Neurospora crassa OR74A: one gene and its partner. Each later gene encodes a partner of the first gene's protein in a complex. Links are inferred from orthologs where the notes say so. Each region holds a gene or a part of one and is shown on either strand. Other genes may lie near its edges. The genes, in order: NCU00794 and NCU06468.

Region 1 (9,385 bases):
AAGCAGGAGGATGTACTGGCGATTGTGCCGGATCTGATCTCGGTCATCGATGCTCAAAGCGGTGAGGCCGTGGGCACTCCGGAATATCGGTATGGCTTGCTGGTCATTGTTATCGGAATCGCCGCTTCAGACAAGTGGACGGGGTCACAGAGAGGCATCGATCTTGGTGGTCCCAAAGCGTTTGGCTTTGACCATCTAAAGTACGAACCGTTGGGCAGGTTCGTGAAGCCGGTTAGTGTTATTGATGAGTTTGATAGGTCGATCGAGTAAGGACATGAGTGATGCAGAGGTTGTCTATCCCTGCTCTATGGTGTACTTGCAAATCTCAGATCTCTACTTGAAAGTGGAGATGTGCTAGGATAGTCCTGGATGTAGATCAGATGAAACAGATAGGCTCGACTTGTCAGGTACCTCTACGGATTCAAGCATTAAGGTTGTTTCAAAACAACGGTTGAGTGACTCACAAGGAAACTACCTTCCTTGCTAATTAGTTTGATTTGACTTCCTAATATAGACCTACATATATGTGCCATCGACGAAGCGTACCTATATCATAGACTGGATAGGTGACGACTAGATCGCGGACTCCGTGTGGTGCCTAACAACACTCCTTAACAACGTATTGTGTACACGACATACATTCACTTGTTGTTGTTTGCCTTTATGTACTCAAGATCACCGCATGGTCTGCTAGTGACAGTTCCCCGATTTCTGATCCTTTCCATTCGATGATGTGGCTTGTCGTCACAGATGGGTTTTTGATGTTAGAATGAAGGACTTGCAGAAGAGATCTGGAGGCACCAACCGGCTACCGATGCAATCTTTGTCCCTTAGATGCAGTTGATCGTGCATAAGCGTGACACTGGAGGTTCACTTGATGTCGTGAACTGCTCCAAGTCAGATGCAATCTAATGCCGTGTGATGATGCTGCCATGGCAGAAAACATGCCATCAGAGTATCTCTCTTGCGCAAACCATTTTTTTTAACCTCTAGGTTACCTTATGTATATAGAAAAGAACTTCAGCTCCTAACTCCAGATGTTCCAGTCTGCTTGGATTTAGTCAGTCGTCAGTTTTTGGTATCTGGTCCTAACACTCGTTCATCCCGCCCCCTTTTTTCTCCCGCGCTTTCAAAGTAAAGTGAGCGGAAATCTAATCAACAACCGCGTGCTACAACCGTTCAGTCATGCGTGAGTTTCCCTGAGCTCCTCACGTCCGCCTTCCACCGGCATATAATTTCGAAAAGGCCATTCACTAACATCTGTGTGGGTTACAGACAGAATCCGGACCTGGGCTAGGGCAAAAGCTCATGGCCCAACGCCTCTGGTGCGCACTAGGTCTGATGCTGCGCCGATTTTCAGAGCAAGTCACAGCCGCCATGGCACGATTTCGACAGCCGAGACTGGCCGCCACGGTGCAGTGATATCTGAAGAGCTACAAGCAAAGAAGCCCTCGGCACTGGCGCGCTTCTACACCTGCGCCAACGGAATTCTTTTCTCGCGCTTCTTGAACATAGGACTGGTCTTTGTACCAGTAGCATTTGCCGTCCGTAAGTTCACCGGTATCCACTTTACATCCTCCTCGTTATAGGGCACTGGGCGGTCTAGGCTATCTCCAAGGCTAGAACGCCGTACACCAGTGGCTCTTCTCAGGGCTAGGCTCCAAGGAGGTACCTCGCCTAACCCTTCAGAATGAGCTACACTTGTAGCAGTTCGTGGCCGTCATGTGCTGCTTGCGTGAGATCCCTACAGGTAGATTGCTGATTCCCTTGAGGTTGTCACCGCAGACTTCACGTCCATGCCGGCTGGCGTGGTATTCGGCATGAACGCTGTGGCAATTATTCCTCTGGCCGGGCTCCTCAGCCACGCAACGGAAAGCGTAGCCGGTCGTTGCGGTGACACGGTTGCTGCCTTGATGAACGTCACCTTTGGAAACGCTGTCGAGCTAATCATTTTCATGTGAGTGAACTTTGATCCCCCACAGGCTCTTTCACAACGTCTTTCGAGGTACTGAGCCGATCAGAAAGGGCTTAAAGCTGACGAAGGGTGCGCAAACAACAGCATTGCGCTCGTGAAGAATGAAATCCGGATCGTCCAGGCCTCTCTCGTTGGATCAATTTTGGTTGATCTCCTGTTAATCCTGGGAATGTGCTTCATTTGGGGCGGTTTGCGATTCCGCGAGCAGATCTACAACAGCACCGTAACCCAGATGAGCGCTTGTTTGCTCACGCTGAGTGTGCTGAGCTTGATGCTCCCAACCGCGTTCCACGCCACGTTTAAAAACGAGCAGGAGGCGGATATCAAGGTTCTGCCGCTCAGCCGGGGAACCAGTGTCATCCTGCTCGTTATCTACCTCCTTTACCTCATCTTCCAGCTACAGTCGCACTCCTATTTGTACGCACCAACGCCAAGACACTTGATCGAACAAGCAGCGGCACCCGGCCCCGCAGCTCATTACTTCAGCTCTAGACGTAACTCGTCTTCATCTCCACCTAGGACTCCTGATGAGAACGCATTACAAGCGCCCCAAGCCATGTCGAACGAAGATGGTGGCACAGCTGGAAGACAGGAGAACAGCAGGGGTGCAACCACAACAGAGCACGACGCCGCCGAAAGGACGGAAGCTGTCACAGATGACACGCTACACCAGACGCAGGAACTCATCCCTGCTGGCCAGCCTGATACTGACACGTTCGCTGCCGATGATGCAAGAGGCCCAGGCCAGCAGGGTGAAACAAAAGACGTTGAGCCGTCGCAAGGCCGAGACCAAAATTCTGGGACCAACGAACATCATGCTGGTCTTGGTCTGGCCAGTGACCTAGAGGCACAGTGGGACACGGCCTCTCGTGCTGCGCCGTTTCTACTCAGATCGCTCCGGCCGATCTCAACTGCTGTTGCCTCCATGCTGGAGAACCCCAACGAAGCAGAGCAACCGGAGCATAATGCACAAGGACAGCCACTGCGGCGTGTCCAGTCTATGCCGACTCGAACACAGAGGGCTGCGAGCAATCGACAGGCACCCGGCCAATTGCCGGTAGTAGTCCCCATTGTGGTTGACAGCACACCGGCCTCGCCTCGCAACAGTGAGGAAAAGCCAGCGGCCCAAGAGACAACAGAGGTCGAAGCCATGCCACAGAAAGCCGCCGTAATCCTTCTTCTGGCCTCGACCGGCTTGGTCGCCGTTTGTGCCGAGTTCATGGTGGACTCCATCGATGCAATCGTCGCCCGGGATGCCAATGCAACTACAGGCATCTCTGAAGCCTTCATCGGTCTAGTGCTCATCCCCATTGTAGGCAATGCAGCTGAACACATCACATCTGTGAGCGTGGCACTCAAGAACAAGATGGACTTGGCACTGGGCGTGGCACTGGGCAGCAGTATCCAGATTGCGCTGTTTGTGACGCCGGTAGTGGTTATCTTGGGCTGGATCATGGATCGAGACATGTCTCTCTACTTTACCCTCTTCGAGACTGTCTGCATGTTCGTTAGCACCTTCATTGTGAATTTTCTCGTTAGAGATGGGAGGAGTAACTACCTCGAGGGAGCACTTTTGGCATCTGCCTACCTCATTATCGCCGTGGCAGCGTTTTACTTGCCAAATCCAAGGTTGGCTAGCTCTGTTGGGTAAGGGTGAAGACAGAATTTAGGATGGGAGGTCGGAGTGTGTAGGCTACCTAGGTTCGGATGACAGATGAACGGTTATGGTTGAGGCCCAGACCGAAGGAGTAGTTTGTCTTGACTAAGGAGGTTTAGGCTTTTGCCAACAGCCATATCAGTAATTGTCGTAGCAGAGGCCGCATCAGATGCAGTATCAAAGCTAGTACCAGAGCCAGTGCCAGCCGTGACCGTACCCGACTTGGGACCAGCAGCAGCCGCAATACTTTGCAAGTGGCATTGGGAAAGCGAAAACCCGGGCAGCCTGGAATATCGGGACTGCCGGTCAATGAGAAGCGAGGGGAATGAGAAGTTTGGTCAATAAGTAGAGATAGTTGACGAGTATCCTGGTGAAGGGAATCCAGGGTATAGCGATTCCTCTGGACGTGGGCGATATTTGAGGGTCTGGGTCACCTAGACAAAGGGAGAGAAATGAATTTTTGTGCCTTGTGTAGTAGTATAGAGAAACAAAAAGGCGTCATGTCGGAACATGAATCCCCTCCGGAGGAGTCAAGAACAGCCGGGCGATGCTCATGCTGGGTTCATACATAGATGGGAGATCACGTAGGGTATACAGTATAACAGCTGTTGGGAAGCAGTGGTGACGACAAGTGGGAGTTGACTCGGAGTGTTGGAATGTTTGGAGATGGGATGATGATGACATGGGATGATGCCCGATGGTTCAAGTGGAAGGTTTGGATGCAGACGCACTAACAGCGCTAAATCGTAAACAGCCCTGGCCCAGCTTCGTGATGCCCCTGTGGAGACATGGGGAAAGCAAGTGTGGGTCAGAGCTCCATTGGAACTGGACATGCCAAGCCAGTTTTGCACGCCATCACCGCCAAAATTTTGGACTGTCCGCATTCTGCTGGGTCCAGCCTTTGCAGGGGCAGCAAGTCCAGTGCAAACCCAGAAGGCCCCCAATCCATCAACACTTCCTGGAAGTCGGGCGAGTATCGCAACACACTTTCAGCGACAACTTCTGGCACAACATAATCCAAGATGGCGACAGTACTACCACCCCCGTCGAAGCGCCAAAAGAGAGAGGAGATTGAGCGCACCACAACACAGCTCGATGTCGCCCCGATACTGGCGCCTGAGCTCGGCTCCTTCAAGGCCAACTTCGTCGACAGCGATGGCAACCAGATGACCGATGTCATCGAAATCAACTTTGCCGATGCCACCGAAAAGAACATCTCCGTCTTGCTCAACACCCTGCTCGAGAGGGACCGCGAAGAGTTCACCCCATACCGATTCCGCATCCATATTCCCGGCAAGGATATCATTGTCGACCAGTACCCTTCCGACCTCCTCGGCCTTCTCAAGCAGCATGGTGTCGAGAACCCCTTCGAGTATGCAAGACCCGGACACAGGAAGCCCAGCACGTAACTGCTTCGCTAACCTCCGCATAGAACCACAATTACTCTTAGTGCCGAGCCCCAGGCTGTTTTCAGGGTACAAGCAGTTTCGCGCCTTGCCCATCGCATTCCCGGTCACGGCCAACCCATCCTCGCAGCCCAGTTCTCGCCTATTTCATCCGGACGCCTTGCTACCGGCAGCGGCGACAACACAGCTCGTATTTGGGATACAAATACAGGTACCCCGAAGCACACATTGAAAGGGCACACCGGCTGGGTCCTCGGCGTCAGCTGGAGACCCGATGGAGAGCAACTAGCGACCTGCAGCATGGATGGCACAGTGAGGATATGGGATCCCGAGGCCGGCAAGCCCGTTGGTCAGCCTTTCAAGGGCCACGCCAAATGGGTGTTGATGACGGCGTGGCAGCCGTACCACTTGTGGAGAGACGGCACCCCTAGGATTGCCAGTGCTAGCAAGGATGGTACCTGTAGGATTTGGGTTGTCAACACAGGCCGTACCGAGCACGTCCTGAGCGGTCACAGGAGCTCCGTCGCCTGCGTGCGATGGGGTGGAACCGACCTCATCTACACGGGTTCGCACGATAAGGTTGTCCGGGTATTCGACGCCGTCAAGGGCACCTTGGTACACAGCTTGACATCTCACGCCCACTGGATCAACCATATTGGTTTGTCCAGCGACCACGCCCTGAGGACCGCCTACTTTGACCACACCAAGGACGTCCCTTCCACCGAGGAGGGCAGGAGGGAGAAGGCCAAGGAGCGTTTCGAGAGAGCGGCCAAGATCAATGGCAAGGTTGCTGAGCGCATCGTATCTGCCAGTGACGACTTTACCATGTACCTGTGGGACCCCACCAACAACGGTACCAAGCCCGTTGCTAGACTTTTGGGACACCAGAACAAGGTGAACCAGGTCCAATTCTCTCCCGATGGCACTTTGATCGCCTCGGTTGGTTGGGATAACAGCGTGAAGCTCTGGAATGCCAGGGATGGCAAGTTCCTCAAGAGCTTGAGGGGTCATGTTGCACCCGTGAGTTCCTTACCCACATTCATCTCTTACCACGAGGGGAAAGTTCTAACGCGTTGATACTTCAGGTCTACCAATGCTCCTGGTCCGCCGATAGCAGGCTTCTGATTACGGCTAGCAAAGATACTACCCTCAAGGCATGGAATGTGCGCACTGGCACTCTCGCCATGGACCTTCCCGGACACGAAGACGAGGTATGTGAACCAAATCACGGCGACATCGGTGTTCCCACTGCTGGAAAATTCTAACTCGCTTCCAGGTATACGCTGTGGACTGGTCGCCGGATGGCAAGATGGTAGGATCAGGCGGAAAGGATAAGGCCGTGAGGACATGGAGAAACTAAAGAAGAGGGCAAGAACGAACCTTACTCTCCTACAGCCAGCAGTCGGAACCCGAGAGCCCCCGCTCTACTTCACTCGCGGAGGCCTCAGCGGGGTGATATGACTTCTGGCCTGCTTCCGTGGTGTTTGCAGCAGTTTGCCGTTCGCACGAACGAGCCGGCTTGGGATACTACATGCCCAGGTATCTGCCAGAAACAACTTTCACGGCAATCTTCGCGAGCCAAGTTTCCTTGACGTCAGCCTAGCTACTAGTATCGGCTCACCAAAGAGGCCTTGCTGAGTCAATACGCAACACGGCTGCACACATCACCTCGACTCGCAGGGTGGTGATGTTGTGTGGCTGTTAAGTGCTTACCGACTGCGCCTCTGCCAAACTTTCCGAATCGCTGGGCAAGAGCGAAAGAGGCGATGGAATGGGCCTGGCAAATCGGTAAAATCTCCCGCCGCCAGTTCAATGTTACCAAACCGCGCGACCACACACCAAGACCAACAAGACGCTCGAAAGATTTGGAAAATGGAAAGCACCATAGATAGACAGAGACGTGGTCATGTTAAGCGATGTCCGGGGGTATCCATTTGAGGTTTGATAGATGCGAGCATTTGATGGAATGGTTCTCATTGCGCGCATCATGCAGGGCGTTACATAGGTGCCACGATATAGACAAGGATAGTGATATGCATTCATGGCAACCTAGAGAGACGTTGTTTAATCATGACGTTTGGAGCTAGTGAACCAGCCGTTGATGTTCAGAGTTACGAATATGTAACTTTCGAAGACGGCATATGATTCACTTTCCCGAAGCAACAGACCAGAGGTAGCAAGAACCACGCACACTGCAAGCCTTTTTTTTTCTTTTTTCTGAAGCATCCTTCGAAGGCCCGGACGGGAGCTGCCACTGGTCCTATGGGTCCCGGTCTGTAGCAGGCAAGAGGGAGCAGGAGGCAGCCTTCCACTTCCCCGCCCCGCCGTGCCGCGTCGGGTCCAACGTCGTCGCCCCCGCTTTTCAAGGTATGTTTCCCAAGTCTGGAAAACGTATGTACGCTAGAAAACGGCAAGTCCAACAGTCATTGATTTCAATTTTCATCTGTTTCTTCTTTTCTTGTCACTTTCTCTTGTTGTTCACAAATGCCTCACGATTTCTTTGTGATTGAGTTTGTCCGTCACACCAATAAAGAAGCATTCGGTTATGCCTCATGCTTTTCGCGATGACATCTTTGATTAGCAAACTTAGTGAGCTATTTCCTCCAGAGCGGCAAGTGAATGGTGGAAATAACAACCAATACGACGTTGAGATGGAAGAATTGGAAGCTTCCATCTTCAACAAGCCCTTGTGCTCCAGAAAGAAAACCAACCTTTTCCAATTTCTGGTTAAAAACCTTGTTCCCCAGCCTTCGTCAACAGCCAACCGCAACCTTCGAAATACAGTGGTATCTCGGGAGATATCGGGACACGCCTTGCCTCATTCATTCGTGTCACACCCACTTGAAACGGCAAGCCATGGATTCCATGCAACTGAAACTCTGGGCATTGTTCTGGGCTTTTGGGCGACGTTTTTAACAGGAGTTCCCTTTTCACACTACAAGTCAACTACACAGAGGTACCTAGACAGCTGCGCCTTCTATGGGTGGCTTGGTCAGTGGATACACCGACCGGTACAGAAAAGCCCAAATCTCCCCTCCCCCGCTTCTGCTGTCATCGATAGGAATTGCCCCTGATAGACGTTTATTTCTTGGTTGTCTGTCGATCGAAACACAACGCGAAACAACCCCCTTCGATCCTCTTTGCATATCGCGACTTTCACTTGTATACGCTGAAGCCATGGCCAGCCTCATCTGACCAAAGTCCTTTCATCACCTCTCAACATATATTGTCATGAAAAGTCGATTTGAAATCCTCAACCACCTAGCTTACAGCCGGTCTGGCAAGCGCCGCCAGGCAGCTTCTTTTGCAGATCTGCCGATCCACGGAATGAAGCGAGACCGACCCGACTTTACCTCTAGTGTAGTGTACACTAGTTGTCTGGTATGGAGGTCTGGATAGGTGATCGTCAGTTCGGGCATCAGGTCTAGTCCGTCCAAGCAGCACGTTTTGAAAGCTGTCGATCCTACTGGACACCCTAGTGGTACCGCGTTGAAGATCTGGCCGGATAGGTAAGTTTTGAAAAGTTTGACTCTGCCGGCCGGACGCGAAATCAATAACAACAGCAGCAAGAACGACGACAACAAGTGAAAGTCAACGACGGCAGAGCTACCTACCTACAGGTAGAATGTATGTTATGGTCACCGCAAAAAAACCTCAAACGCCCTTTCGACTCGCCTCTCTGCCTCACCCCGTGATCGGAGCCCGGAGATTTCATAAATGATTTTGAGCAATGCAATGCCGTGTTCGTGTAGCCCAGTCCTTCATGATGTCTTTCTTTGAGTCCGTCAACCAAAGGGGTCTGGGAGTCCATTCGGGACACGATCAAATCGTCTCTTTTTCGGGACTTTTTCTTCGCCTTGGGCTGTGTGTGTACCCACCTACCTAGTATACTATGAATGGGTTGCAAAACAACCGCTATACCGTTGGTCATTGGTGTTGATAGCATCGCACCGCATTCACCAAAAACCCATCCCACCGTCGCTTGCCAGGTCGGAAATTGGGAAGCATGCAATGCGCCTCTGACTTTCTGACCATCTCCATCAAACCGCCTGCCGGATCGACGGCGTCTTACAGCCGGCTGCTGGGCCGAGTTCCTGTCTTTTGTCTCCACTCACTTGGATGGGCTGTAGTATTCGAGTGAAATACCCCATCATTCTAGGATTTCAGAGGCAATTTGATATTCGCGGTTCATGCAAAGAGCTTGGATACAACGACACTACATGGGGCAACGTTATGTAGAGGTAGCTTCGTTCAGTTTCTTCCCTTCTCACACTCAAGACTTGCGTCCATCTACACACAGGAAGTACGTCCCCAGTGATCCTCTCCCCACGTGTGTCTGAGTTTGTA
Region 2 (8,209 bases), on another chromosome or scaffold:
TCATTGAGATGGAGAGACTTGCTGATCGGTTCGATTCGCTGCGCTGGAAGGCTGATGCTTCCATCCCCACTCTGAGAAGCGTTCAGGAAGCTATGGCTAGGGCATATACCGTCGTTCGCAGCGGAAGAGGTGATGCCTCTGCGCTTGTCAGGGAACTCGAGTCGGAGATTTCCACCCTCGAGGCTAGAATTGGTCAACATCCATGGACTCACGAGCCGTTCTTTGCTTCCACTTTTGAGGCACTTAGACAGGCTCTTGTTCTTCACCAAGTTACGGAGGACGGCGAGGTCGTTTTGCCCGCTCTGTCTGATATCGACGTGCTTTCCAACCTCCCCACTGTTGCTCTGATGCGTCTCCGCGCTTCGGGGTCTTCGCCGCTGCAGTTGGTCGATTGCTTGCTTGCCCAGGATAGTGAGGTTCGTCCTTGGACTGGTACCCTGTCCAGGTCGCTCTTGCTCAAGTACGATGCCACTTCCTCAGCCAGCATGCACGAGTTGCATTCTTTGGAGACCGAGTTGCCTATCATGGGCAAGATCCTCGCCAAGTCTTCCGATGCTCTGGCTACCGATTCGCTGAAGAAGACGGAGCGGCTGTTGCTGAAGCTGATGGAGGAGATAATGGCTGCTCATGGCGATCTTTGCAAGGGCGTCGTCGTGCCTTTCTTCCATGGTCTTATGAATGAGATGGGCAATGTCCAGGTGGCTGAGCTCGCTGCTCTCCTCGAACAGGGAACCAACTTTGCGATTGATACCACTCAGTGGCCTCAGCACCTCGTTGTCATCTTTGAGAGGCACTTCTACAAGGCTTTGAGAGCCCTGGCCGCCGCCGAGAAGGGTCTCCAGCCTCGCTCTGCATACACTTCCGTCGCTTGGGTTCAATTCTCTCTTGCGTCCATCAAGCTCTTCATTCCCGACAAGATCTTCGATCCTCACCACCGCGCTGAGATCGAGCAGGAGGAGCACCGCGAGATCTACGAAAGCCTGCAGCAACAGATCGCTGCTCTCGAGGCGTTTGAGCTTGCCTTCACCGGCCAGCACGCCGGTCTCCGCTGCAAGCTTCTCATGGAAGAAGTTGCTGGTCTTGGGGAGCCGCCTGCTGTTCAGTCTATCTACCGCCCTGGCGACTCGGAGCTTCGTGGCCTGCAGGGAGAGTTCAACAATGTTCTGAATGCCCTTGTACAGAACGACGTGGCTGCTTCGCATCTGCGCTCCATTTCCACCGACGCTGAGGATGCTTCCGAGGAGCTTTCCCTCGTTGAGAGGAACCTTGTTGCTCTTGTTGGCCGCTTCATTGGTCGCTTCAATGCCTACCAGGACTTGACGATGCCGCTGGTTAGCTTCTTGCGCTGCTTGCAGCTTGGTCTTTCGCTCGGCCAGGGTGCCGTCCCTGCCAAGAGCTCCGACGAAACCGATTTCAAGAGCATGGTCAAGGCCACCCCTTTCCTTAGCGGTACTGTCTGGGACGCTGAGGCTAAGAGCTTGCCTCTCCGCTCGCTTGAATTCCTCTCATTTGTTCAGGCCATCGTTGCCGTCGAAGGTATTGATAGCTTGCCGGAGAACCTCAGACAGGCTGTACACGAGTCCTTCTATGCTTTCCATGAGGAGTGGAGCAAGAAGCTGGAGGCCGATCGTAAGGCCGAAGAGCAGAAGAACAGCTTGTTCCGCTTCAAGGGGAGTCTGGAAGATGAAGAGGCCTTTGACCAAGAAGAATTCGATCAGCTGTTCCCTGACTACGTAGACGACGACGAGGAGCAGGATGCCGACGCGCCCAAGAAGAAGAAGCAGATTCCTCGCGGCAACCGCGACCTGTCCATCTTGCTGGCGGAAGCTCATGAGAAGATTTTCCTCTCGCCTCAGGAGCCCCAGCAGAGCATTCGCATCTTGCTTACCCAAGTTGCTCGCAGGATTGCCCGTGCGGAGCGCAACGCCGCCGCTGGCGAGCCCGAGATGGACGCCTTGCTTCTGCCCGCCACCATCCTCGCCTTCGAGGACCAGATCAAGGCCTTCAGCGCCAACGTTGACTCCAACAACTACAACTTCTATACCGACTCTATCCTCGTCGAGGTCCGCAAGGCCCTCACTCTCGTCACCGCCCTCAAGAAGCGCTTCCAGGAGCTACAGACCATCGAAGAAATCGGCCACCATCAAACTCTCGCCGACGTCATCATCGCTTGCGACAAGGTGCTCGACATGTCTATCGACGATCCCCTGGCCGCCATCATCTCCCCCATGGAGAAGCTCTACGCGCACGTGTACGAGTGGCACGAAGGCGGCTGGGCCACCAAGGCGCACAAGGCCACCGTCCTGTATGAGAAGCTGCGCGATACCATCTGCGACTGGCGCCGTCTCGAGCTGTCCAGCTGGTCGAGACTGCTCGACGCCGAAGCCAAGAAATGCCACGACGATGCCAAGTCCTGGTGGTTCATCGCCTACGGCGCCGTCATCCTCCAGCCGTGCTCGTGGTTGCAGGAGGGCAAGGATCTGTATGCGTACGCGGTCGAGCTCTTGGGTGCTTTGGAATCCTACTTTAACACTGCCAGTCTCGGCCAGTTCACCTCTCGTCTGAACCTTCTCAGACAGCTCAGAAACCAGCTGGAGCTGCTGATGGTGGATGAGCCTCAGTTGAGCGTCATCCGCGATGCTGTCCAGAATTTCATCACCTATCACGCCAGGTACGAGCGCAAGGTCAAGGAGGCTATCGCCGCCGGCAGAACTCCCTTGGACAGGAAGATGAAGGATGTGTTGCTACTGTCGAAGTGGAGAGATAAGAACATCGAGGCGCTCAGGGCTAGTGCGCGCAAGTCTCATCAGAAGCTTTTCAAGCTGGTGAGGAAGTTCCGTGGTGTACTTTCCCAGCCTGTGAGCGGCATAACCGAGCAAGGCCTTCCCGAGGAAGAGCACAAGAGCCTCGTGGCAATCGTCGACAAGGCCGCTGTCCAAGCTGACCAGGAGGCTATCGCCCTTGTCTTGCAGCTCATTCCATCTCTAGAGAGCCAACAGCAGTGGACAAGAATCACCAACCTTCCCGGCGTCCTCAAGATGATGGGCAAGTTTGGCTCGCTGCCTGCTTCGGCCGTGGAGATCCCCAGCAACTTGGACGAATACATCACCTCGTTGGTCACCGAGATGGCTGAGCTTCGCAAGGAGACTCCCCAGCACCTCACTGACGAAAACAAGGAGGCCGTGGCGCACTTGAAGACAAGAAAGACTAAGCTCTACACCGACACGCTCAAGACTCTTCGCGAGATGGGCTTCAGTCGTAACCTGGGCACCACCATTCTCGACCGCCAAAAGTCTGCTCACGCCGTGCTCGTCCACTCGGGTCTTGTTCCCCACCTGAGCGAGTCGCAGCTCAACGCCATCGAGTACTTCTACCACAAGATGCTCGACTTGGCGCCCAAGTTCCGCCAGGCTACCTTCGAACACAACGATGATCTTAACCGCGAGATCGTCCACCGTTCCATTGGTTTCCTCGAGGGTATTCTGTACGTTATGTTCAAGCAGCGCATGTATCTCTCCCGCACAGCTGAAGCGGAGCGTGCTCTTGCCCAAGCCATTACTTTCACCAAGGAGGTCTCAGGCCGTGGCGGCGAGGTGGCTATTCAGTCGCAGAAGAGCTTAACGAACCACGGTCGTGTCCTGCGCTGGCTTGTCCAGATCCTCAAGTTCGCCGTCTACATGGTCGACGTCCACGGCAAGCTCGGCGATATCAGCAATGATCAAGTTCGCAGCAAGTTGCAGCATTGGCTCGATACGTTCGCCACTTTGGCCACCAAGCAGGAAAGCCTGCCTCGTCTGCCTACCGGTTTCAGCTCCTCCGCTCTCGAGCAGCTTCATAGCGATGCCGAGAAGGAGCTCGACGGTCTTCGCGAAAGCCTCAGCAGTCTCTTGCTCGAAAGACCCGACATGGCATTCGTCATCCGCCAAGTCCAGCTCTGGACCAGCGCCCAAACCGTCGCCATCGCCAACGAGCTTCAGGAAACCACCATCGACGAGTTCGCCAAGTCCGCCCTGGACCTGTCCAGCCGCATCCTTGTCGCCCTGCAAAAGTTCCCTGAAGCCGTCAAGAACCTGCCCCAAAGCCAAGAAGACGCCGGCTGGTTCCTGGCCCACAGCGAAGGCCTCGAGAAGGCCATCAACACCCTTGCCATGCCGCGCATCACCTCCGAAGTCGACGGCATCCTCCGCCTGCTCAAGACCTCCGACCTGTCCCAGCCTGCCGTCCGGGACGCCGAGACTGCGCTCCTGCGCGCCATCCTGCCCATGCTCGAGCAGTACGCCGCCACGTGCCAGCAGAACCTCGCTCAGTACGCCGACCTGCACCGGTCCACCTGCCGTCTGGGCTACACCCTCAGCAACAGCTTCATCGTCATCGCCAAGCAAGGCTTCTGCTCTCCCCAAGAAGAGAGCAAGGAAAAGTCCGGTGAATCTGGTGACGTGCAGAGCGGCACCGGTCTGGGTGACGGTGAGGGAGCAGAGGATATCAGCAAGGATATCAAGGATGACGAGGACCTTTCCGAGCTCGCGCAGGATCAGAATAACAAGAACCAGAACGATATCGAGGATAACCCCGACGCGGTGGACATGGGTGAGGATGATCTCGAGGGAGACATGGGGAGCGTGAAGGCTGAAGAGGAAGATGAAGAGAACCAGAAGGATAAGGATGGTAGTGATGATGAGGAGGATGATGAGATGGACGAGGAGGCGGGTGGTGTCGATGATCTCGATCCTACTGCTGTCGATGAGAAGATGTGGGATGGTAAAGATGAAGAGGATGCGGAGAAGGATCAGAAGGGTGAGAATAATAGCGGCAAGCAGGATGAGGATGAGCAGGCTGCTGCGGAACCAGGGAAGGAGAAGAAGGAGCAGCAGCAGGAGAGCGAGGAAGCGGTGGGTGAGGAGGAGGAAAAGAAGGAGAAGAAGGAGGGTGAGGAGGAGAACGAGGATGAGGAGGAAGGTGAGCCGGGACAGGAGCAGGAGGGTGACGCCCAGCCACAGGAGGAACTGAATAATCAGGACCAGAATGTGCAGGAGCAGGATACCCTAGCGTTGCCGGATGATATGCAGATTGATATCAGCGATGGAGAGGATGAGGAGGAGGATAACTTGGATGACCTGGAGGATGGTGAGAAGCCGCAGGATGGAGAGATGGAAGAGGAGCAGGCGCCGAATGGTGTGGAGGAGGAGCAGCAGCTTGAGGAGCAGAAGGATGCAGAGAAGCCTGAGGAAGCTGAGGCTGAAGAGACGGATGATCTGAACCCTATGGATGAGGATAACATGGATGTGGACATGGACAAGGAGGAGGAGCAAGATGAAGATGCCCCGCAGGATTTGGACAAGGAGGAGGAGGACAAGGAGAAGGAACAGCCCGGTCTGAACGATGACCAGGCTCAGGCGGATGACGATAACGCTGCTCCCAGCGATGTCAAGACGGGTGGTGGTCTTGCTCAAGATGACCAGAACGACATGCAGGACGATACTGCCGACAACAAGGCCGCCCAGCGTGAGCAAGGTGCTGTCAACAACCAGTCCTCTGACCAAGACAACGCCCCCGGTTCCAAGGGTGAGCAGTCGAGGACTGAGCAGCAGGAGGGCCCCAATGAGGATCAAGAGACCGAGGCCAGCAGCCAACCATTCAAGAAGCTCGGTGATGCTCTCGACAGATGGTACAGAAACCAGCGCGACATTCGCAACGCCCCCGAAAGCAAGGAGGAGCAGCAGAAGCCCGACGTCGACATGGCCAAGGTTGAATTCCAGCACTTGCAGGATGAAGACGCCGAGCCCGACACCCAGGCTCTGGGCACCGCCAATGATGAGGAAGTTCGTCCCATGGACGATGCCATGGCCATTGACACCGAGATGGAAGACGCCAACAACCACGTCTTACCCGAGGATGAACCCGCTGCCGAGGACAACAAGCAAGAGGACGTGGACATGGAAGATGCCGAGGCCCCTGATTCCACCGACGCTCCCAAGGAGGACCGCAAGGACGGCCGTTCCGGCGTCGCCACTCACCAAGGTGCCTTCGAAGACTCTGACGATGAGGACTCCGACGCCCGCAAGGCCAGCGCAAAGGAAGGCGACCTAGACGAGGCGATCAACGAAGAATCGTCCACCCAGCTCTCCGCCATCCACCTCGAAGACCAACCACCTCGCCCCTTGCGCGACTTCAACGAGGCCCTCTCCATGTGGACCACCTTCCAAACCAAGACGCAATCCCTCTCCATGTCCTTGTCTTCTCAACTCCGCCTGATCCTCACCCCTTCGCAATCCACCAAGCTCTCCGGCTCCTTCCGCACCGGCAAGCGCCTCAACATCAAGAAGATCATTCCCTACATCGCCTCCTCCTACAAGCGCGACAAGATCTGGATGCGCCGCGCCATCCCGACCAAGCGCTCCTACCAGATCTTGCTCTGTGTGGATGACTCCCAATCCATGGGCGACTCGCTCAACAACTCCGGTTCCGCCGGCCGCTTGGCTTTGGAGTCGCTCGTCATGACCTCCCGCGCGCTTACCATGCTAGAAGTAGGCCAAGTCGGCGTCCTCGGTTTCGGCACCGACGTCTTTGTCGCGCACCGTCTCACCGACCCCTTTGCCTCTCACGACGCGGGCGCCAGGGTCTTGCAGCAATTCACTTTCAAACAAGAGGGCACGGACATGGTCAACCTCTTGCGGCGAACCATCGATCACTTCCGCGACGCGCGCCTCACCTCGGCCTCTCAGTCGGGAGGGGAAGATCTCTGGCAACTCGCCCTTATCCTGTCTGACGGTCTTGTTCAGAGTAAAGACCACGCGCGCCTTCGCCCCTTACTAAGAGAGGCAATGGAGCAGCGCGTAATGGTTGTTTTCATCGTCATGGACGATGCTCGGGATGCTCAAGGAAATGCGAAAAAAGGAAGTCAAAGTGTCTTGGATCTGAAAGAGGCTAGGTTCGGCAGTGATGGTATGCCGGTGATTCATCGCTACTTGGACAGTTTCCCGTTCCAGTATTATTTGATTGTGCATCACTTGGATGATTTGCCGGGGGCGTTGGCGGGCTTGTTGAGGAGTTGGTTTAGTGAGGTTAGTGCTTCTTGAGCACGCATTCAGCACACATACACACTCAGGGAAAGGGGGGTTGAAGAGAAAATGAAACCCGAAAATACTACGAGGAAAGAGAAAAAAAAAAAACTGGGAGACGATAGATAGATCATAGATAGATTGGCATTCTTGTATTAGGAGTTATTTGTTTGTTTGCTTGCTTGGTTGGTTGGTCTTGGTAGGCTTGGAAGGGTAGGAGTTTAATTGATTGATTAGCTTATTTGTTTGTTTGTTTGTTTATTTGTACCTGTCTTTTTCTCGTGTTTTCATTCGTCAAAATCAAAAAGGGGGTTGTCAGGTTTAGGTAAACAAAAGCTCCCTACTTAGCTTAGGTAGACAAAACGTCACTGTTGTAGTAATCCAACTTCGGTCTCCTACTGTAGTACAAAAACCACGAAAACCTCTCTCTCACAATGGCTCTTAACGTTTGCCAAGGTTGCATCTTATCTGATTCATGGCAAGGTTTTTTTTTTTTTTTTTTTTTTTTTTTTTTTTTTTTTTTTTTTTTTTTTGTTGTTGTTGGTGTTGTTGTTGTTGTTGTTGTTGTTGTTGTTTTCCCCCCGAATCTCTGCGGGCATGATTGAAACTCGGCATCTCTTTCGTCTTTCTTCCCAGGTGATTGAAGATGGATGGATGTCATCATCCTCTACATTTATCTCGACGAACTCTTTTACTTGTTCAAGCGGTGATTGGTATTCACCTGTTTCTTTGTTTGTTTGGGTAACCGCCGTCGCTTTTCCTCTTTCTTGTCTCTACAAGTCAAATTTCCTAAACACCGTTTTCTTTTACTCACTCACTCACTCACTCAGTCATTTATCGCCTCATCATACAAGTCAAAGTTAATATTCTTCACCCAACCTGGTTTAACATGGTAATAGATAGCGAGGACCGACGCAGAAAATCTGCTCCAGACTGAGGTAAGTGACAGTGAGTTATGTAAGTATAACACTGTTTGTCTGATTTAGATCTAAACATGTCACGAGTGTTCATCAAGACGGATCATTAGAGGTTGCCTGGCAAACGATAGTATTTCTAATATATAGTTTGCAATTCCTCTCGTTCCTTCCAGTTGATTTCTGGTCTTTCATCCCTCATCCCAATCATCACTCCCAGTCCTATATGCAATCGTA

Evidence for each region.
Region 2: the proteins of NCU00794 (region 1) and NCU06468 are in contact, whole or in part, in a cryo-EM structure (PDB 6YLF), measured with the Saccharomyces cerevisiae proteins. The link is inferred for Neurospora crassa OR74A from reciprocal best matches to the Saccharomyces cerevisiae genes RSA4 and REA1. Residues at the interface, in NP_009997.2 of Saccharomyces cerevisiae: Leu29, Pro30, Asn31, Ala48, Leu49, Arg50, Val51, Pro52, Pro108; in NP_013207.1 of Saccharomyces cerevisiae: Glu4778, Thr4779, Cys4817, Glu4818, Asp4853, Met4854, Ser4855, Gln4856, Val4857.

The regions. Positions count from the first base shown.
Region 1 is NC_026501.1:7,138,718-7,148,102, forward strand, and holds NCU00794 (ribosome biogenesis protein Rsa4), read left to right. Parts: upstream 1-4,503; 5' UTR 4,504-4,654; coding exon 4,655-5,004; intron 5,005-5,064; coding exon 5,065-6,058; intron 6,059-6,123; coding exon 6,124-6,249; intron 6,250-6,314; coding exon 6,315-6,398; 3' UTR 6,399-7,101; downstream 7,102-9,385. Other genes in the region: NCU00796 (hydantoinase), read left to right, coding at 1-270; NCU00795 (membrane bound cation transporter), read left to right, coding at 1,797-1,957, 2,060-3,626. UniProt on the Saccharomyces cerevisiae protein: Involved in ribosome biogenesis. Required for processing and efficient intra-nuclear transport of pre-60S ribosomal subunits.
Region 2 is NC_026503.1:1,509,390-1,517,598, reverse strand, and holds the end of NCU06468 (midasin), read left to right. Parts: coding exon 1-7,076; 3' UTR 7,077-7,285; downstream 7,286-8,209. UniProt on the Saccharomyces cerevisiae protein: Nuclear chaperone required for maturation and nuclear export of pre-60S ribosome subunits.